Linked DNA regions of Alligator mississippiensis. The protein of the gene in region 1 interacts with the protein of each later gene in a biochemical or structural test. Links are inferred from orthologs where the notes say so. Each region holds a gene or a part of one and is shown in the gene's direction. Other genes may lie near its edges.

Evidence for each region.
Region 2: the proteins of CUL3 (region 1) and KCTD17 form a complex in vitro, tested with the Homo sapiens proteins (3 studies listed by BioGRID). The link is inferred for Alligator mississippiensis from reciprocal best matches to the Homo sapiens genes CUL3 and KCTD17.

Annotation. Positions count from the first base shown.
Region 1 is NC_081830.1:51,712,548-51,723,618, reverse strand, and holds the start of CUL3 (cullin-3), read left to right. Parts: upstream 1-6,140; 5' UTR 6,141-6,396; coding exon 6,397-6,462; intron 6,463-11,071. UniProt on the Homo sapiens protein: Core component of multiple cullin-RING-based BCR (BTB-CUL3-RBX1) E3 ubiquitin-protein ligase complexes which mediate the ubiquitination and subsequent proteasomal degradation of target proteins.
Region 2 is NC_081827.1:100,592,957-100,603,481, reverse strand, and holds the start of KCTD17 (BTB/POZ domain-containing protein KCTD17), read left to right. Parts: upstream 1-5,779; 5' UTR 5,780-5,813; coding exon 5,814-6,029; intron 6,030-7,623; coding exon 7,624-7,732; intron 7,733-10,150; coding exon 10,151-10,242; intron 10,243-10,525. UniProt on the Homo sapiens protein: Substrate-adapter for CUL3-RING ubiquitin ligase complexes which mediates the ubiquitination and subsequent proteasomal degradation of TCHP, a protein involved in ciliogenesis down-regulation.

The DNA of each region.
Region 1 (11,071 bases):
TGGGGAAATACTAAAACCAAATATACACAGTGGTGTCAAATGTGCAAAGTAAAAACATTTTTAAAATGACATATGTTCTCTCACCTCATTCATTCATAGTCAAGTTAGTAACTGCAGATAAATAAAAGCAAAAAGGAAAATAAAATAGGTAAAAATAATCTCAGACTGAAATGTGATTTTGTAAGTCAATAATACCATTATAATTTTGAAAAATTGCTTGGAGTTCTGCATTGTTTCAGAAATATATATAATAATGTTATAGTAGTGTGTGGGTATATTCTTGTAAATACACTTTTTCTTTCTGATTTAAGTTTTGATGCTGCTGTCTGGTGCCTCTTCAGCATGTGGGTTATTTTCTGTATGTATTGACATCATACATTGCATAATAAAAAAGAAGATAACTCTTCCGTTTGACTCCTAATTAGTTCTGCACACAGGCAGTTAGCTTAACTCTGATAGCATGGAAACTATGAATGTTGCTGCTGAAGAGTGTTCTGTATATCAACTTTCTAACTACAGGCTTTTTTTGACCAAATTTATATTTGCCATCCATTTAGCACCTCATTTAGCAATACAGATACAGCACTTGACCCTCAACCAAGCTGGACACTTGGACAAATTTGTATTGTTCCTGTATAAATCTGAATATGACTCGAAATCATCTACAGTAAGTCTCATCCTCTCTGCTCCCTGTTTGCACCATGTATGCCTGACTATTCGCCACCTTCATATCTGTTTTAACTCCTTTCAGAACACCTTGCCGAAGCATCAGGCCTTTGTATTACAGCCAATATATATTAAAGCCATAGAAATGTAAAAGAGCAAATGTTTACATAGGAATAATGGTACAATGCTTGCTTTCACTACACACTACAACTATCTAAAAACAACTCTCAGAGCCTTTTACCATTTCTGTTGATTGAAATTGTGTGCTTATTTGAAAAGTTCTACTCTGAAATTTTCTGACAAAATGGCTGCTCCATGAAATAGAGCCACTGATTGCTGAATATTGAAATGGCAACAGGTATTTGGGGGAGAAAAATGCTTAGGTGAGATGCTTTTTAGGTAAAAGCTTCACCTAGGAAGAAAAGAACAACAAAATAAATCAAGAATTCTAGAGCCGCCTCAGATAAGTAGGTGACTTTATTATCTCCTAATTATACTCCTCCCTAAAATCTATGAAGCAATGTTCAAGGAAGTTACAATTAAATCTACACGATGTTGATTCACATGCAAAATGGTGAGCAAAACCTCCCAAGGGATAGCAGCTAAGTAGAAGACTAGGAAGAAGGTAGGACAGGGTGACACTTTTATCAACTAACTCGTTCAGAGGCATTCAATAGGAGTTGAACTTGTCCTGTTTTTAGATACAGAAATGTAGTAGTAATCTAATAAATATTTTTTTCTGAATGTTTAGAGTAATGTGTCCACTTTTGGGCTCCATACTTCAGGAAGGATGTGGACAGATTGGAGAGAGTCCAACAGCTAGCAACAAAATAACTAGAGACCTGGAAGCATGACTTATGAGGAAAGGCAAAAAGCTAGTGTTATTTGGTTTGGAGAAGGGAAGGCTGAGGCAGGGGTTTGATAACAGTCTTCAGATACCTGAAGGGTGATGATAGAAAGGATGGAGATGGGTTTTCCTCTGTGGCCATAGGGGACAAGACAAGAAACAATGACCTCAAGACACAGCAAGGGAAATTTAGGTTGGAGATTAGGAGGAACTTTCTGAATATGAGGATGGTCAAGCACCGGAATAGGCTACCTAGAGAAACTGTGGAATCTCCATCCTTGGAAGTTTTTAAAAGCCGGTTGGACAGACACTTGGATGGGATAGTTTAGTCATGGATGATCCTGCTTTGAGCACGGGATTGGACTAGATGACCTCATGGGCCGCATCCAGATGAGCATGGCCAAGCATTATGTAACACGGCAGATACATCTGCGGCACCACATACTGAACATTCTGTTGTTCTCTGCACTGCAAGGGAGCAGCGTAGAGGGTTTTTTTGACCCCTGTATATCCAGGGATCCAAAAAACCCACTGAAAAAAAGTGGAGTGATGCACACGGCAGCAGCATCAGCTGCCCTAAGCGAAGCCTACCTGGCGTAGGCATATGCCACTGCCACCCAGGCTGTGCCACAGGAGTGACACAGCTACAGCCCTGGGAGGCCACCAGCACCCCAGGTAACTTGCCACATGCCAAAGTGCACGTGGCATGGGCATTCCCCAGGAACAACTAGTGGCACAAGGTGTGCCCTCGCTAGTTGTCCCCAGGGAATCAAACGTCCATGCACTTCTTGTCCTACTTTCAGATGATCCTAAGATTCTACTTTTTTTGGACCTTGCTTGCCCACCGTATCCAGAACTCCTTTTGCAATCAAGGAGACTTAAGTGTTTAAAAGTGCCATTTGCTCCATTGGGCCATATCATATTCTTCCAGATGTGACACTGAGAGCAAATCTGCTTGAATCAGGACTCCAGTATTGGGTCCCAAATTATTATACATTGAAAACCAGTCTACTTCTGTTTAGCTGACTTCAGTACATATATAGCATACACTTATTTTGCTGTATCCCCTTTAGATTTTTTTCAGTTATGCTTTATTTTGTGCTGTTATCAACATGGTTCTTTTCATAGACTTTAAAAGTCATGATTGAGAAAACAATTTATTTGTTTCTACGATCACTATTGTGTTAATCTTAATGCACCACATGGAATTAATGCAAAACCTAAAAAAAAGCATCTTATTCAAATAGATATATAGTTAAAAAAGAAATGCTTTTTCTATCTTTATATGTTACTTTAACGGGAAAGGAACCTCTCTCCTTTTCACCCACCATGCAGGAAGCAGCTATTTTGTTCATTTTTTTTCAGATGCAGAAAGTTATAAAATGGGGCCTACTTCCTGAAACTCTTAACCACAGCTTAACTTAAGCATTTGGGTGTTTGCAGGGGTTAGTCATTCTTTCTTGCTCTCATAGACACTTCATATTATTTTTTCCTTCTTACTCTGGAACAAAATATTGAAATGTGTCTGATTTTCATATAAAGTAAGGAGAAACATAGCATAGAGAAGGTAATTTTTATGATTCTTAGGAGCAATAGTTTATTGCCATTCAAAAACTGTGAATTCTGCAAGCAAAGGTTCTATTACAAATGAATTCAGTATGTTACATGTTGCAAAACTGGTGGGGAGGGGGGAAGAAATGTGCATCTGGTTTCTTTAATACCTAAGAACTCTTTGGTATGATACCGAAAGCCTGATTTCCCCCTCCCTCCACCTCTCCCTTCAAATTATACTTCCCATTAGCTTCAACCATGCAGTACTGAGTCATCAAATAGAAAAATTAACTTGAAAAAAAGAAGATACTGTTTTTGGAGATTTCATTGAAATTGTTAATTAAAAATGCAAATAATGTGTTGTACTGGAGCCAAGCTTTTAGAGCTTCTGATGCTCTTCGCCTGGCTCTTAGTATATTGTATAGTATTAGTATACTGTATTATGTATGTATATGTATTATTGTATAGTATTATACACACACACACACACACACACACACATATATATACTATTACATATTAGTATTTTTTATATTTTTTTTATACACACACACACACACACACACACACACACACACACACACACACTATTATATAAGGTTAGTCCAAAGTTTATTTTATTTTAAAACTATAAAAATTATGAAAAGGTCAAAACAAAACTGAAATGAAACTTTTCAGTGAACTAGGTCTCTGACTTATGGATCAAAACAACTTTGAATTATTATTAAAATTCATGAAAATGTGAGATTGACCTTTTTCTCTCTGTTTGGGATGAGAAAAATCTTAGAAAATTCTTGTATCTATGTGAGCTGGTTGTGCCTTTTGCCAGTTCATTTACTGCAAGCTCCAGCCATACCTCTTTCAAGGTTCAAGAAGACAGAGTCCTTTATTTGGAATCATTTTATAATAAAAGTTTGGGCTGCTCTGCCCACTCACTGTATTCAACAAAGGAAATAAAAGAAAATAACTGTGCCCTTACAGTTCAGGCCTCAAAGGTTCCTCGCCTTCTCTTAGTAGAAGCAACCGCCTCCAACCTGCAGTTTAAGGCAAAGATCTCCCTCTAAACTTTTTGTATTCCTTTTAGACAAAAGACTCCTTGTTGAGCCTTAATTTGGTGGCATTTGTTTATTAAGCTCCAAAATGAGATGGAAATTCAAAATGTATGTGGATCTTTTATTTTCATGTAGGCAGTCAGTAGGAAAACTTTGCCCCTCCTACCATTTGCCTTGTCATACCTTGTGACTGTTTCCTATGTATTCTGAGAACGGCTGGATGGTTTTGCCTGGTCGTGCTGAAATCATTAAGACTGTTGTCTTAATCTTGTTGTGCTGTTGTTATATAATGTCTTCTTTAGGTATATAAGTAATTCTGAACAGGAGGTTTAAAATATAGGAACATGCATAATCCCAAGGAACTGTAGTGGTTTGGAACTGAAAGAGACAAAAGAGCAAGTTACTTGGTAAAGAAAAGTTATAGGATGAACACATATATTACTGTGCTCTTAGTATACATATTGCACTGTGTGGGCAGTACTAGGAAAATGGTTGGAGATCATAGGAGAAAGAATGCTGCAGTAGGCAGAATTGAGTTTGGAAGTCACTAGGTAGGCCTCTTATTCCTAGCTGTGCTATATACCACTTGTGTGGGATCCTGAGTGAGCCACTTAGGCCCAAACTTCAAGCACCTGCTAGTTTTTAGAGTGACAAACACAAATATGAGGCCAACCCTATCTCCCCAAATGTACAAAATCTGATATATACAAGCTGTCCTTCCCCATTTTGTGTGTGCCAAGGCTCCTAATGGGCCTTACACACAGGGGGTTCCGGCTAGAGGGTCTTGCCCCTCTGCTCAGGGTCAGACTGAAATTTGGCATAGGGAAATTTTACCCACAAGTCAGATTGACATGGACTGTGAGGGTTTTTTTCTTCCTCTGTAGCTGGGGGTGTGGTCCTCTTCCTTGGATCTCTTCAGCTTTTTTAACAACTTTTCCAACAAGGACAGCGATGGCCGTGGTCACCTTGTTTAAAGATGGCAGGTTCAGGTGTTATGTTTTGTGGTTGCATCAAGGTTGACTGTAGTTTTGCTAAAAGGGTAGACAGTAGGATGGTTTAGATAGAGATGATCCTACTTCTGGCAGGGGGTTGGACAAGAAGATGGCTGGAGGTCCCTTCCCACCTTTTCTCTATGATTCTCTGATTATAGCAACTGCCCCATTCTCAAGGGACCTATATTTAGCCTCATGCACTCACAGGTGTTGCCTCAAGTGGTGCCCTCATTTCTCAGGCGTTTCTTGTGACGAGCAAAGAAAACAGCAAGAGAAAGGAAAACAAATATATTGCGACATAACTCGATGAGTCTCCCAAAGAGTACAACACCCATCGGTGTCATGACTCAGGCTATTCCTACGCAGCACAACACAAGCCTATTTAGTTTGGGTGGAGCACAGCGCTCATTTGGTTTTAGTGCTTCCGATACCAGATCCAGTGCATTTTGAGCTTGCTTGGGTACCGCAGCAGTGGTATGTGCATGTGCACCCTTAGCAGGGCATAACTGACTTCTGAGGAACTAAATTTAGCCTGCAAAAAACAGGAAAGGTCCTATATGTCTGTCCAGTTATTTTCCCCATCTTCCATAGAGCTATAATTGGCTTTTGCCTGATTCGCCTTTCACTGGGTTTGACCCTGTGTTTAAGACTACGTCTGCCTTAGCTTCCTCCCCACTCTGCAGACTTCCCACTGCTGTTGCTGCCCGGGAAGGCCCGGCCATGACAAACTCCCAGCGCCGCAAAAAACAGCTCCCAACAAACTGAACTTTCTAGGACTCCTGCTTTTCTTTGCAATGAAACCCCGGGAGCTGGTGCACTCCCTTGACTCCCGGACCTGGGGCTTTATTGACAGTGAAAACCGCACGGTCCGATAGTACCAGATTTGACGACGCAGCGGCCGGGCCAGACCAGACACCCCCCGGCCGGGGTCGCGGGCCTAGTTGAGGGCCGCGACAGTCCCGCGGAAGTCTCGCGAGAGCGGGAGGCCCCGCCCCCTCCCCCCGGCCGCGCTCCGCCTGCTGCCGCCGCCGCGGCCGGATCTGAGCGCGCCTGGCGGGCGGGGGCGCTCGGCCCTGCGCACTGCGCGATGTTTGTCCGCCATCGCGGCCGAGGAGGAGGAGGAGGAGGAGGCTGAGGGGGCCGCCGCCGCCGCTGCCGCTGGAGGAAGGGGCCTGCGCCGCCGCCGCCACCCGCCCCGCTCCGCCAGGGCCCGCAGTCCGGAGCGAAGGTCGCCGGAGCCCGGCCCGGGCCCACCCGCCCGCGCCCACAGGCGGCTCCGCGCCCGAAGATGTCGAACCTGAGCAAGGGGACGGGCAGCCGGAAGGACACCAAGATGCGGATCCGCGCCTTCCCCGTGAGTGCCCGGCTCGGCCCGGCCCGGCCCGGCCCGGTCGGGGGAGCGGCGGCCTCCGCGGGGTCCGGCTGTTACGAGCCCGGCGCGACCTGTCACGGCGCTCGAGCGGCCGCCGGAGGCCGGCACCGGCCCCCCCTCGCGCCGCGGCCCGGCCCGGCCCTTTCCGCGGGTGTGGGGGCACCGCCGCCAGGCTGCCCGGGGGGAGGTGAGGGGCCGCGACTGCCCGGGCCTAGAGGTGGGTGCCAGTACCGGCCTCCCCGGCCTGGGCCCGCGCCCGGCCTGGGCCCTCCCCTCCGCCGCTCTGACAGTTGTGCCCACTAAAGCGAGTGGGGCTGCTGCGCTGCAGCCTGCCCGCAGGCCTCTCTGTGCGGATGTGCCTGTGCCTGTGTGCCCGTGGGTCTGCGTCTGTGCGTGTGCCTGTGTGTACGTATACCTGTGCGTACCTGCACGCACCTACACATTAAAGAGGAGACTCCATTGACTTGAATTTCAAGCTTTAGGGGAGGGGTTGTGACCCTAGCCTAGATGGTGAGTGGCAAAGGGCCCCTAGGTGTTGCCTGCACACAGAAGTTGGAGCTCCCTGGTTGACCTCACTGCAGCAGCAAGTCTCATGCTGAGGAACATTTACTCGCCCCTAAGGCTTGCTGATTAAATAAAAGAGTTGTTTACATTGGCAGGCTGATGAAGTTCTGCTGAGGAGTCTGATTCAGCTCTAGCTTCTCTATTTTAGACTCGCTTTCTAATTATTGATAATTATATCAACTATAAATGTCAAAGGGGACCACTGCATCTGAGAAAGTTGGGTATCTCTGCTGAAGAATGGCTGGTGGTCACCAAAGAAATTATTTGCTTAATAAGTCATGCTGTTCAGATTTCTTGTTTTGTAGTGAAAAAAAGCAATTCCAAGCGGCCATGGCCGTTGTAAACAATTCATAGGGATACATCATAAAAAAAATTAGAAGTGGCAAAAATGTGACACTTAGATTGCAGCAGACTATGCCAAAGACAATGTACTACACAAGTTTCCTAACAATCTGCTCTGTTCAGCTATTAAAATCTCAGAATGCTTGTAACTAATTGTAAACTAATAGGGACGGGACATGATACTAAGCTAAGACTATTTTTTACATTAGCTGACGGTTCTTGTTACTGAGCATGTAAAGCTGCGCTTGTGGGTGAAGAATGTTCACACACAGATCAGTTCTCGCAAAAAATTGAGCATTGTCATCATTTTCCCCTTCAGAATGGTTCTTGTTAGAACATTGTTATAATTTCTCTTCTCTGCAGTTATTTGAAGAATGACTCCATTAAGATTCTTCACAAAAATTAACTTCCACCAAAGAAAAACTCTATTAAGTATACATAGATATTGGGACCTGCACATTTCCAAAGTAGAAGCTGACATCTTTTGACAGAACTTTTTTCAAGGCTCACTATTTAGAACTGATTTTGATTTCCAAAACCAAACTGGATCAGATAAAGGGGCTTGAAAGTGAAAAAAAGAATATGTACCCAAATAGTTGCTGTTGAGGGTTTTCTATCCTTACCTGTGTAATGTTAAAGTTACTACTTTGTGCAAAGATTTGTGTGTGTGTAACTTTACTTATGTGAGTAATCCAGTTGACTATTCATGTAAGTAAAACTATTTGTATTTTCAAGATTGGTATCTGTATTTAGAATTTACTTCATTTACCTTAAGCTACCAATCTTCACTGTTTTTACCACCTCTTATTCTGAGGCATCTCTGTTTGTGATGTCCAGTGTTGGTGCTCTGCTTGCCATTTAGGTGTCTTTATTACATCTCCCATTTCCTTTTTATTCCTTTCCTGCTTTTTTGATTTAAGTTTCTCAAATGGAAAGACTGCCTGCTTACTATTACATAATTTTATAAAGGTAACTACCAGTAGTGTGGTTACTGTCTAGTGCAGCAGTTCCCAAACTGTAGGTTGAAACCCTGAACGTGGGTGGCAACATCATCAGTGGATGGGATGGCAATAAACGTGCCTCCTGAGATTTCTGAGCCCAGTGGGATGCGGGGTGCAGCCAAGCCGGACCAGCTGTGGGCAGGAGCTTCCTCTGCGGCCCAGTGGACGGGACCCATTTTGGGAGTGCTGCATCACCATATCCGCCAAGGTGAGACACAGCAGCTGCAGTGGCATGGAGTTTTGCCCTCACTGCTGGCAGATAAGCCAGGGGTGCCTCACCTGGGCAGCTGTGGCAGTGCAGCACTCCCTCTCATACCTTGTCCTGCCTACTGGACCACGGGGTCCCTGGGGGGAGAGGGCAGGGAGCCCCAAGCCTGCCTACAATGGGCAGCCCACATCCCTGCCCACCCCCCGGCTCCTCTCCACAGGGTAGTGCTGCCTGGAGGGGGGGGGGGGGGGGCGGGGGCGGGGGCGGGTGCAGCTGGGCTCGTACTTCTCTCTGGCCACACCTGCTGTCGCCTCCTGTGGGTGGCTGCTGGGGGTTGGGGGGGCAGGGAGCTGTGGGTCCTGGCCCTGGGGCACTGTGGGGGTTGGGGAGTGAGGGGCACCTGGGGTTGTGGAGGCCTGGAGGCTAGGAGTGAGGGGGCATGCTGAGGAAATGGGGTCACACTGAGGAAAAGTTTGGGAAGCACTGGTCTAGTGCTAGTCCTGGCCCTATAACTTATTCAGTATTTTTTTTCTATAGTATACATGGGTGAATGATAAAGAAAGGTACAGGCAGTCCTCAACTTACAATGTTTCAAGTTACAACATTTCGCACTTACAACGTTTATAAATTGACACCCTGTTTCAACTTTCTAACGTCAGTTTCGACTTTACAACACTTGATCCGACGTCAGGCCATGCCAGCGAACAAGCTCGCTGCATTGTCCATCTCCCTGGAGAACATCTGTCTGACCTTCCGTGGACATTTTCTTTAAGAAAGCAGACAAAGCTGAGCCAAAATTCCTGAGAAGACTCCAGCCAAGAGCCCTTCAAAAAGTGTAGCAAAGTTGCCTCAAAAAAGTCCTTCCAAGTCAATATGATTGCTATTTAGACTATAAACACATTAATGTAGCTATATTACTCATCTATAATTGACTGAGTACAAAATTCTGCATTATTGTTGGTGAAAATAGTGTATCGGGCCTTGGCTCAGCAACCAATCCCCCATTTATAACATTGTTTCCTATGGGAAAATTGGTTCCGAGTTACATTTCGACTTAAGACCCTGTTTTCAGGAACCAATTCTGTCATAAGTCTGAGGACAGCCTGTATAAAATAATAATTTTTGCTGTTAAGGAAACTATATTAACATTATTGCCCAATCACTAATGCTTTGCTTGGATATCTTTCATTTTTTTGTAGACATAATGTTCTTCTCTGTTCTTTATTTTTACTTTCTTGACTTTTGGTGGCAAACATCACTCCATAGAACTATTCTTTGATACTTACTAACCAGGTGCTGATGTTCAGAGCATTAGGGTAGCTTTTTCTTCCTTCAAGAGCAGTAGTAGCCTTGAGTACCTTGGAATTTAGATGCTGAAGTGGATTGCTTGGTAGTCAGAAGTAGTCAGTGAATAGAATTCCTTGATCGGTAATCTGCCCTTTCCATTCATAATAGAAAAGACATAAGTTTACCCATCCAGCTTCACACTAGTGTGTTAAAGGAGGGTTTTATCCTGTGTTTATTTACTCAACTTGCCTTCAAAGCAGTGGAAGCTAGTTCTAAAGCAGTGGGAAAAAATTAAAACTTAGAACCAAAAATGGCCAATATGAAGGTGTTTGTGTTTCTCAGCATTGCATTCTGAACTTGCTCAAATCTAGGAATAGAGATGGAAATAACTTTAAGATCTTGAAATTTTATATATTTGCAGGGGGTAATGATGGTTAATTTAGGGTCATGCCTTGAAGTATCTTGTGTATCTACAGACTCTCAGGTATAGAAGACTTGTATTTTTGAAAATGTCATAATACAATGGGCTTTCTTGGCCATGGAACTTCCATGATGTATATCCATGCATACATCTTTTTATCACTGATACTGATTTTTACAGCAACAAAAGCAAAAAAAAAAACCCAGACTAAACTTGGCATAGGGTTTTGAATGGATTAAATTTTTTAAACAATCTCTTACTTTGTTTGTCCATTATATTTTCAGTGCTTGGGCACTAAGTCAGATAGTATTGACTCAGCATGTGAAATGTAGCAAATAATTGTTGTCACTTGATAATGCCTGTCTTTGACTTGTCCATTCTATATATTGGCTACATTTTGTAAATACTGCTTTAAGTTTAGGAAGTGAAAGAGTGTCCCCTTGCATGACGAATATTATGTTGTGCAGAAAATCTCAATGTTGATGGTTTTCCAAAACATGGGAAAAGAAACTGGGGTTATTTTCTCTCCTTGTCATCAGATTAATGAACTCCAAAACAGTGGTCTCCCTCCGCAGGCTGCTGACACCCAAGTTATTTCTGCACCTGTTATCAGTGGAATGCTAGCAGTGTAGCCACGTTTGCATGGTGCTAGGCCTGGCTTAACTAGTTTTGCCTGTCAGCAGAACTAAGCCCAAGTGGACAAATGTAGCATTCATAACACTCCAAGTGCCTTTAAAGAGCTGTAAAATGTGAGATTTTTAGATGACT
Region 2 (10,525 bases), on another chromosome or scaffold:
TCCTTCTGAAGTTGTGCAGCCCTGTTAGATTCCAAAAAATCTGCAACTTCTGCTAAATACCGTGTCACAAGGTATGAACGAGGAAAGGAAAGAAGCCCTCCAAAGTGTTCAGTGCTATGTTATTTTCCTAATAAGGTACCAAAAGGAATTATCTTCCAATAGCCCAGTATCAGGATCCCAGAGCCTTTTTTTGACTTGGTCTACAGGCATGGCAATGGGGTCAACACAGGGACTGAGGTAGAGTTGATATTTTGGAAGCTTAGAAGTGTCAAAGTCTCATTATGTTCAGATATTATAGAAGCTGTGGACACTGACAAATTCATAATGGCCACTGCACTGCAGCTCAAATGTGCCCCTGTGCTCCTGGCTCATTAAGCAGGTGTCCCATGGGATCTGGGGTTACTGAGGATGACGTTATGTCAATGCCAAAAGTAGCTGACAGGTCTATGGAAACCTCAACTATGGAGGTGTGAAAGGTGGGGGAATTGTACATAATGATTCAAGAAGGCAGCAAGCAACTAAAAGAGACAGCTCTACTTTGGGAAAAAAATGTCAGACCTGACAACTGACAGACTTCTAATTGGGCTATTTAGAAACTTATCCGGAAGTCAGGTAAACCTTGGCAAGCCTTGTAAGTGTATACGCTGTTTATTGTTTTGTGACTGTTTCTCTGTAATGCCTTTGCTTTAAATAAATAATAATGTGCTTTGCAAAAGGTGGTTGGCCACTGCATCATCGTCTCTGAGGGAACACAGCTCTGCAGGTGCTGCACCATGTTCTGACCTGGGTGTAATATCCAATGCTTATATATCAAACATGATACCAGAAATTTTCAATTGATACTGGACTCTTTACTTAACATGTAGCTTAAACTACACACCCACATGAACAACCAGCTTTGCCTATATGGCCCCCAGCCCATATGTGTCTCATTCCATGTCTTGAGTTGTCCCCCCATACAGCATGCTCCGTAACTTTGGTTCCCACACCAAAAGCCTGTCATCATTATAGTGCATGGGTGAACATAGTTGGACCTCAGGGGACTGCACCTTAAAATTCCGGTCTGGAAGAGGTGGAATACAACTTTCTGTTCCAAAAACAGGTGACAGCCAGAGACCCAAGATCTAATCAGCTGCTCTTGAGAATGCCATAAAAGGATTATTTATGTAGTTAACCTTGGAACTGTGACAGCGATGTTATTGAAGGGTACCATGCAGGGTTTGACCAAGCATGGGCAGCTTTCATGTACTTCCATCCCTCAGATATCACCACATTGACTGGTACCTCTTGTTGATCCTGGGTCTGATTGCAGATTATTTACCTGCTCTGGCCTTGCATTCAGAGCACCTGCACCTGAAGAGCAGCATCTCACCTGCTCTGCTCGGGCTGCTATGATGCACTAACCCTAGGGCATGTGGCTCGGGGTCCTTCGTGCCCCAGTCCCTGGGAGAGGTTACATCAGGCGATAAAATGTCAGGAGTCAGTTGAGGGATGCCTCTCCCACTTGCCATAGGCATGCCCACATGCCCTCAGTTTAGAGCACCTTCCTCTCCCTTTACCTGGATCTCATGTCTGGGACACTCCTCTTTAGGCTGTCTTTGAACCATCTGCACATTCCCCTATGATGCACATATCCTTTCAGTCTTGGGGCAGGTTCTGGATCTGTTCCACACTCAGAAGCCTCTTGAAAGATTGTAACTCTCCCCTATTTTCCCCTATTTCCTCCTTTTCAGAGGGGGAACCTCTTTCTTGTAGCCATTCCAGCATAACTGTATCCCCTCTTCTCAGCTCACTCCCTCTATAGTTTCTCTCTGTTTTGTATGTCAGCATCACCTTTGGTAGCAGAGCTATTTTACAAAGTTTAAGATTGCCGCAGACCTCCTCAGGCACTTGGCAAAAGCTTCCACTGCCTTCCCTGACAGTGAAGGGGACAGGTACCACATGCAGCCTCATCAGCATCTCTGTTTAATTCACACCCTTTCTCAAAGTCATTTAAAAGAGCTAATGTCCCAACTCTATAGGGAAGCAACAAGTTAGAATTGGTGTCATCTCAAGAGAAAAATAACCAGAGTCTGTGCTCACTTAGCAAGTCAGGGTGCTGCTGGCTTGCTCTTTTCATTGTGAGCTCATCATATGTCTGGATATATATGTGCTGATAGTTTGGGCAAGCCCAGATATATATGCCAATGCTCCCTAACCAGACACATTCAGAACCTCAGTAGTCAACTCCCAGCACTCCTGGGTCCCCAGACTCCAGACAGTCAAGCCTAATTTTTCGGTGTAGTCACCCTGTAGCCACAAGCTACAGCGTATATGCACTAGGGCTGTGTGAGGCTTTGGACAGAGCTTTGGATCCAGAGAAGATTCAGATGCTTCGGGGTCTGAAGCGGCAGATCCGGGTCGAAGCACTGGCCTCATTAGGCTTCACGAAGCGATTTGGAGCTGTCTCGGAGCCGTCTCGGAAATCCAGCCATAGGGTATAATGGGGAAACAATAAAATACCTATAACTTTGTTGTTTTTTGTCCAATTTAGATGACATTTTTAGGGGTGGTAGACTCTGCAGGTAGGATGAATCCTTCCAAGTTTCAAGAAGAGCAGTGCAGGGGTTTTGGGGCAACTGTACCTCAAATTCTTGAAAGCAAAACTCATGTCACGTCTATGTCTTACAACATGGGGGTGAAAACTGCAGGGCTGGTAGCTCTTACTGAGGCCACAAAGCCTGCCAAGTTTCAAGAAGATCGGTGCAGGGGGTTGGGGGGAACTGCCCCTCAAACTGCAGACAAGAAAAACTGGTGCCATGGGTGCTTGTGGGACTGACTGTGTCTGTCTTGGGACAGGGAGGGGAGACTGCTGCTGCAGGCCTGGCTGCTAAGCTGCTGGGTTCCCCCTTACCAATCAATCCATGATTCTCTCAGGGACCAGGGCCTCAGGGCCCAGCTCAATACACAGGACCTAGCTACTACATAACGACTTAACGAGCATCAATTAGCACCTACAAACCCAGGCTAAGGAGAGGAAAGAATCAAAGCAGACAATCAACTAACCCAAGACACAGACAGTCTTGGCACAGTTTTGTCTGTCAGCAGCTAGGGATGCAGGGCCCCAGACCTGCCTGCACCGATCTCCTCCAGCTGGCAGGCGTCGTGGCCACAGCAGGGGCCACCATCCCTGCAGCTGTCACCCCGCTGCGCCTTAGCGCGCACAGTATCACCCATGGCATGAGTTTTGCTTGACCACAGCTTGAGGTGCAGTTCCCACCAAGCCCCTGCACCGATCTCCTTGAAACTTGGCAGGCTTTGTGGACACAGTACGAGCTACCAGTCCTGCAGTTTTCACCCCCCCCACCCCCCAACCCCATTGTAACACATAGACATGACAGGAGTTTGGCTTTCAAGAATTTGGGGTACAGTTCCTCCCAAACCCTTGCACTGATCTTCTTGAAACGTGGCAGGTTTCATGCTCTCAGGAGAGGCTACCATCCCTGCAAGGTTCATCCAAATCAGACAAAAAACAACAAAGTTATAGATATTTCATTGATTCCCCATTATACCCTATGGCCAGATCTCCGAGGTGGCTCCGATGCTTTGGCTGGATGGAGGCGGGAACCCAGTCGGAGTTCCAGATCGGATCGCGGCCATCCGAAGCGGCCAGATCTGAAGCCGGATCAGATTGCTGCTGACTCACACAGGCCTAATAAGCATAGGAAATCCTCCAGTAGCAGTCCTACAATTCCCTGTTCCTGCTTTCTGCCCCTCCCATCCCTCTCTCTTCTTCCCAGAACATAATTTCTTTGCTATTAATCCCTTAATTTCCTCACAGACTATCCTAGAGCAATCAGTATAGCCCAAAGTAATGCTAGTCTGCCCATGCTCACCCAATACACTACTTGCTGGCCTGAAAAGCACAGCCCAATTTTGCAAACACCTTGAAGGTGCACAGTCAGGCCTGTGATTTCTGTTCAGATATTAACATCTAGCACTGCAACATGATTTTGAAGGGGTTTGGTGCCCGATTACATCAGCAAAAGCGCCTAAGGCAATGATGGCATCCTGGAGTACCGTGAGTTTCTTTCAAGGGTGTTGTAGGGTGCTACACAAAGGTAGCACTGTTCGGTGTACAAGAATGATTCACAAGATAAACCCAGTGATTTCAACTAGGTATCCATAATGTTAAAAACATTCTGACCTGTTGTGGTCTATATGATTTATTTGCAACAGAAAAATGGCTCTATTATTTTCCCATACTCAAAAAAGAATGAAAACTAAAAGCCAGTATTTTCCAAGAGGTGCCTTAAAAAGGTTGAGCACCATTCCTGCAAACACTGTTATTAATATATAGATGCATATCCTTGATTAGAACAAAAGCTAGAGCATGCATATCATGGTGTAGCAACAGCCTGGACTGGAAAGGCAACATTTGGACATGATAAATTAAAATGTCTATGCTGCTGCATTTTGTGTGTTGCACTACCAAAGGTCAGAAACCTATTTGGAAAAGAGGTAAGAGAAGATATAGACTGTGTCAGACTAAGGGAGGGAAGCAATCAGCATTTTTCTTCCTGATATGAATACGGTTTGAAAGATTGGCAGGCGTGGCTGTAGTTGGTTAGTAGGGTGTGGTAGACGCTGGGTTGTGGGATAGATAAAGCATTCGTGTTTTGCTTAAGTCTTGGAATCCATGCAACTAAATTGCTGATGAAGCTGGTCTTTTCTTTCCCACAACCACTGCCTAGAATGGGGCATTCAGAAGAGCTAGAGGTAGAAACTTTTAGAAGGTGCTACATCATTCCAGAGGTACACTGGAGAGTATGTGTGTGTGTGTGTGTGTGTGGTAGCAGCAAAGCCCTGTGACTAAGTGAACATGGAGACTCATTTTCCTTCCCCCCCACGAAGGAGTCTCTGCCAGGCAGATTTAGAGGTGTTGGAACGGTAGCAGATTAGGGAAAATTTGCCAAGTAGATAGATGGCTGTTCTGAGTCAGAGAGAAATATAAAGAACTTGGGCTTTGCTGCTGAAGGCTAATTTCCCTCTCTTAAAACCACCCACTTCAGAGAAGGAAATTGTCCAACTTCTCTACTTCAACAGCACTGCAGTGACTGAGATAGCAGTCAGATACCTGTTTGGGGAATCAGGAACAGGAAAGGTGACTGTCCTGCAGGCACTGGAAGGGATAACACTATTTGGCAGATGGGCACAGCAGTTTTCTCCTCCATTCAAAGCACACTGCATTTGTGACCCAGATCTGGAGGCCAGCTTCTAGAGCCCTTTGGTGTCCCACAGCAGGGTTAGTGGGATGTGTTACACTGCACTTCTCAGCATCTCCCAAGTCCACCCATCATGGGTTGCAGGCATGGTGGGACATGGAAAACTACAGTTCCCAGAATTCCTAGGTGCCCATTTTCAGAGAGACCCTCACTCACCTGACAGCTAAAGTTTTTTACATATTACTTTGCCTCTTCAAAGTGCTGTATAGCAAGTACACTCATAAAAATTAGAGAAGGGCTGTAAGCAAAAACCGTGATCCTAATGCCCTCTGAATGATAGCAGTGGTTCAGATTGTGGATCTCACTTTTGCTTCTTGTGCCATTCACCAAGAACAGTAGATACGGCATTCATCCAGCATCTATCTTCCCAAAAGATCCCATAGCATTTAAGAAGCTGTGTATGTACAGCACCACTGAAATGCGGCCACCTCTGGGGTGCAGGCCACCTCAGGAACTACAGGTCCCAGAATCCTCCAGTGTCCAATACCTGCCTTGGTTTCTTTAGCTTAGGAGCAGGGGAGGGACAGAGAGAGACAGAGAGAGGGAGAGATGAGGATGGAAGGAAGGGAGGAAATGCAACGGGCAGAAAGGGTTTCTTATGCCTGGGAAACTCACCAGCCTCCCCCTGCCACCAGCAGCAGGGGCAAGTGGGTACGGCTGAATGTTGGGGGCACCATCTTCCTAACCACGAGGCAGACCCTGTGCCGGGAACAGAAATCATTCCTGTGCCGCTTGTGCCAGGGGGAGGAGCTGCAGTCGGACCAGGTAAGCATCAGGCTGGCACCTGCCCTGAGGGGTAGCTTTCTGCCTGGCATCGTGTGTGCGTGCATGCGGTTGTGTTCTGCCTTCTTCTTGTACCCATCTGGGAAGAAAGGGACCCCTGAGGGAGAGACAAAGCTCTGCACAGGCTGGGCTGGGAGGCACGAGGAAAAGAGGAGAGAGGGAAAGGAGCACACGGGCAGAGAAAGGTTCGGTGCAGGAATAGGAGAGAAAGGGATGGAGCCAGGCTGATGGCAGGGAGGGCACAGCATCTCTGCGGCTGCAGAGGGGCAGATGTAATTTGATGGAGAGACCTTCATCCCTCCCTGGATCCCCTGGTTTTCTCTTTTTAGTGCCATGCAGCTGTCTTAACATGTGGCATAACACCTGTCTTCTGCACCAGAACTACCAGCAACTCCAGAGAGGCTCTGTTTTCTTGTGCTGTCACTACTCCACCTGAAGTGCCCTAGCTTTGAGCCACTGCTTGGCTCAGACTTTAAGCTGAAGCCTGACAGGAGAAATAGCTTTGCCGAGTACAGCCAAAATTAAGAGCTTCCCATCCTCCTTGCCTTCATGCGACTGTCAAGGTAGGAGCCATGCTGAGTGGAGAGTCCCCGACTTTTTATTTTTGATTCTTGCTGTTACTGACAGGGAAATGTAGTAAAGCTCCCAGAAAGCCTTATCAATCAGAAGGGAGAGTTTGGAGGGGTGGCAGCTTCAGGCCTGAAATGTCAGGAAGCCCATCAGCTCAAATCTGTGCAGGAGTTTCCTAGATCCTTTCAGTTTATCAGAGGGAGAAAAAGTAAGAGTATTGTCTCTTTTGCTGCGGGGCTGAGCTTAGGATAGTGAGACCTTTACAATCAAGGTCCCGCTTGCTCTGTATGAAAGTTAAAAATCCTGGGTACTGTTTTGACCCAGCATGCTTTGCCAAGCAAAGTATGATAACATAGTAGTTAAGGCATCTTGCTGTGAACCTGAAGCTGTGTGTTTGAGCCTCATGCTGGACTTGTGCTGGAATCTGTTCCTGTTGAACCAGCTGTAAATATGTACTTGTTCGTTTAGGCAGGAGAACCAGAAGCAGCTGAACATAATGTCCCTCTGTTGGCTGCAGAAACTGGAGTGCTTTAACTGTGTTGGCCTGATGGGCTGCTTGGCTTTGATGCTGACTTTGCCAAAGTACCTGAGCTTGTGTATTTGTAGCACTGTTGTCTGCAGCATTTACCAGCAGCCCTTCACTCAGATGTGGCTGTTTTTCTATATGGTACTGTATGCCTATGTGATTCGGAAGGATTTAAGAGGCCTAATGCTTATGGTTTTCTTCATCTCAAATCTCTTAAAGAAGGGAGGTAGCATCATCTTCATCTTTCATAGGGAAGCTGAGGCACAGAGAGATTGTGGTAAATGTCCCAAGATTGCATAGCCAAGAGAACTGAACCCAGCTCCATTGCCATGTCTTTACTACTACTCAAAAGAGCCATAGAAATATCATATATTGTTACTAAAATTATTATGTTATTACAGTTCATTGCATGGTGTTGTCAGGGATGGGGACAAGTTTCCCTTGTACATTTTTCCTATGTTGGCTTGTCTCTGTGGTTAGGATGAGACTGGTGCCTACCTCATAGACCGGGACCCCACATACTTTGGACCTATCCTGAATTTTCTCCGTCATGGCAAGCTGGTACTGGATAAAGATATGGCTGAAGAGGGTGAGTCTTAGAAACCCCAAACTTCCTTCTTAACACCTCTCCCTGCTGCTGGAAGTGGGTTACATTACATGCTCTTTGCCCTAATTCCCTGACCTCATTCCATTCTGCTGTCTTGAAAATGGGTCAGTTTTCATTTGATACACTGAATAAGTGCTTGGGAGGGAGTGCCCACTAGGATGGTGAGGGAAGCCCAGTTTGAGTCCAACCCTTGAACAAGCTGGTGTCCCCATCACTGCTCCGCTGGTTGAATGGGCTGTTGCAGTTACTGGGGATCAGAAGAGATGGGAAAGGAGCAACAAGGTCACTGTGGTCAAAGGGATAGTAAGTTCCCTGCTGAATTATCAAATAGGATGCAGGTGGCCTTCTCCAATGCAACCTGACAGGGTTTGAGCCCTGTTTGGCTGAGACTGCTTTGTCACTCAGTCCCTTCTCACCCTTCCACTTTTTCCACTAGGAAGGTAGGAGGATGAAAAGCTCTGAGTGGGTTAAAGTGGGAAGGGTGAGGTCAGACAAATCTCACTTGCCTGCCATGTCTGCATACTGACCAGGGAATCTGTGAAGGTTGTTTTTGAGACATCATTGCCCCTTGTGGACCCATTAGGTACCATGCCCCCCACCTACCCTCTCCCACAGGCCTGTTAGCAACATGATCACGTGTGTCTCAGGAGAGGGGCCAGATGCAAACACAGTAGCTTAAAGTGAAACACAAATCTTTGTTGATCTGCTTTGAGGTAAAGCACAATTCAGTTCTGAGATCAGCAAGACAAAGGTCACTGAAGGACAGGGACCAGATGGGAAAACTCAAATTCCTGTAGTCCTAGGACAATGACAAGAAGTGAAATCAGGTCTCACTCTTGAGCATATAGAACTCTGCAGAAGAGAAACTGAGAGTGTATTCAGTGGCCGCTGAATGAAGCCCTCAGGACAGTAACCAAGGGCCAAAGTGAAGCCCTCAGAAAGGTAGCCAGGGGCTTATAATCAACCTCCTCAGTCAGTAAATCAGAGGGAGCAGGTTGTGTACCCCATAATGAGAGCCTTTCTCTCCCTGGGAAAGTGAGCAGTGGGCCTGGGTTCAGAGCTCATTGAACAGTGCCCCCTTTCTGGAATCACAGCCAGGATAGGGGGGTATTCCCAGAGTGTGGTGGTGGATGGGTCAGTATTGACCTGGAAGCATGTAGGCAGTGGGGCCTGCAGGGCTCGGTCCTTGGACCTGTACTCTTCAATGTCTTCATTGGTGACTTGGATGTGGGTGTGAAGTGTACTCTGTCCAAGTTTGCAGATGATACTGAATTGTGGAGTGAAGTGAACACACTGGAGGGTAGGGAATGATTGCAGGTGGACCTGGACAGGTTGGAAAAGTGGGCAGAACACAATAGGATGCAGTACAAGGACAAATGCAGAGAGCTGCACTTGGGGCGTAAAAATATCCAGCACACTTCTTGGCTGGGGAATGACCCTCTCAGCAGCACAGAAGCAGAAAGGGATCTTGGAGTCCTAGTGGATTCCAAGATGAACATGAATCATCAATGTGATGAAATCATCAGCAAAGCTAACTGCACTTTATTATGCATTAGCAAGATGCATGACAAACAGATCCAAAGAGGTGACACTTCCCCTCTATGTGGCGTTGGTCAGACCGCACTTGGAGTACTGCGTCCAGTTTTGGGTGCTGTACTTTAAGAAAGATGTGGATAACTCGAGAGGGTACAGAGGTGGGCCACTCATACGCTTAAGGGTTTGCAGGCCAAGTGCCATGAGGAGAGGCTAAGGGAACTGGATCTCTTCAGCCTCCGCAGAAGAAGGCTGAGAAGTGATCTTGTGGCCATCTACAAATTCATTAGGGGGGCGCAGAAAGGGATTGCAGATGCTCTGTTCACCAGGGCGCTTCTTGGGATAACAAAAAACAATGGTCGTAAACTGACAGAGAGCAGATTTAAGCTGGACATCAGGAAGAACTTCTTCACGGTAAGGGTGGCCAGAATTTGGAACAGGCTTTCAAGGAAGGTGGTGCTCTTCTGTACCTTGAAGGTCTTTAAGAGAGAGTTGGATAGGCAACTGGCTGGGGTCATCTGACCCCAGCACTCTTTCCTGCCCAGGGCAGGGGGTCAGACTCGATGATTTGTTGAGGTCCCTTCCAACCCTAGCATCTATGAATCTAGGAATGGTAACCAGGGAGCTGGGGTTCAGTTCAGGCCACTACCTCTTCCCATGGTCCAGTAATCAGGGCAGTCTGAATTCAATACCAGGTGTAGGAGTTTCCAAACAGCCCAAACCTCTTCATGTACGAGGAGTTCCTGGTCAATGGATCTGAATTCTTGGAGATGCCAAATGGGACTGAGAAACAGAGAAAATAAGCCAATAAGAAAGTACAGCAGCTCATCCACGTGCCTTTTGTGCTCTCTGTGCCTTTATTTCTAGGGGTTCTGGAAGAAGCCGAGTTCTATAACATTGGCCCTTTAATCAGAATAATCAAGGACAGACTGGAGGAGAAGGACTACACAGTAACACAGGTATGGGGAGAGAAGGAGACAGAAGGTGGAGCTGAGGAAGAAAGAAGAACCAGGAACAGTAAGGAGGGCAAATGGGAGAGATGCTCGAATCATGCAGTAGAAACACAGGGATGACTCCACTGAGTAGAGTCAACAAGCTAAATTCCATGTTCTGAAATTTCCCCTGAACAAGATCTCCACTTAATTACAATAACTCAGTCCTGTTTTCTTACCCCAGAGGTGGCACTGGATGTGGCATTTATTTTATCTGTGAAGATCTTATATCATCAGCCTTCAGTCAGAG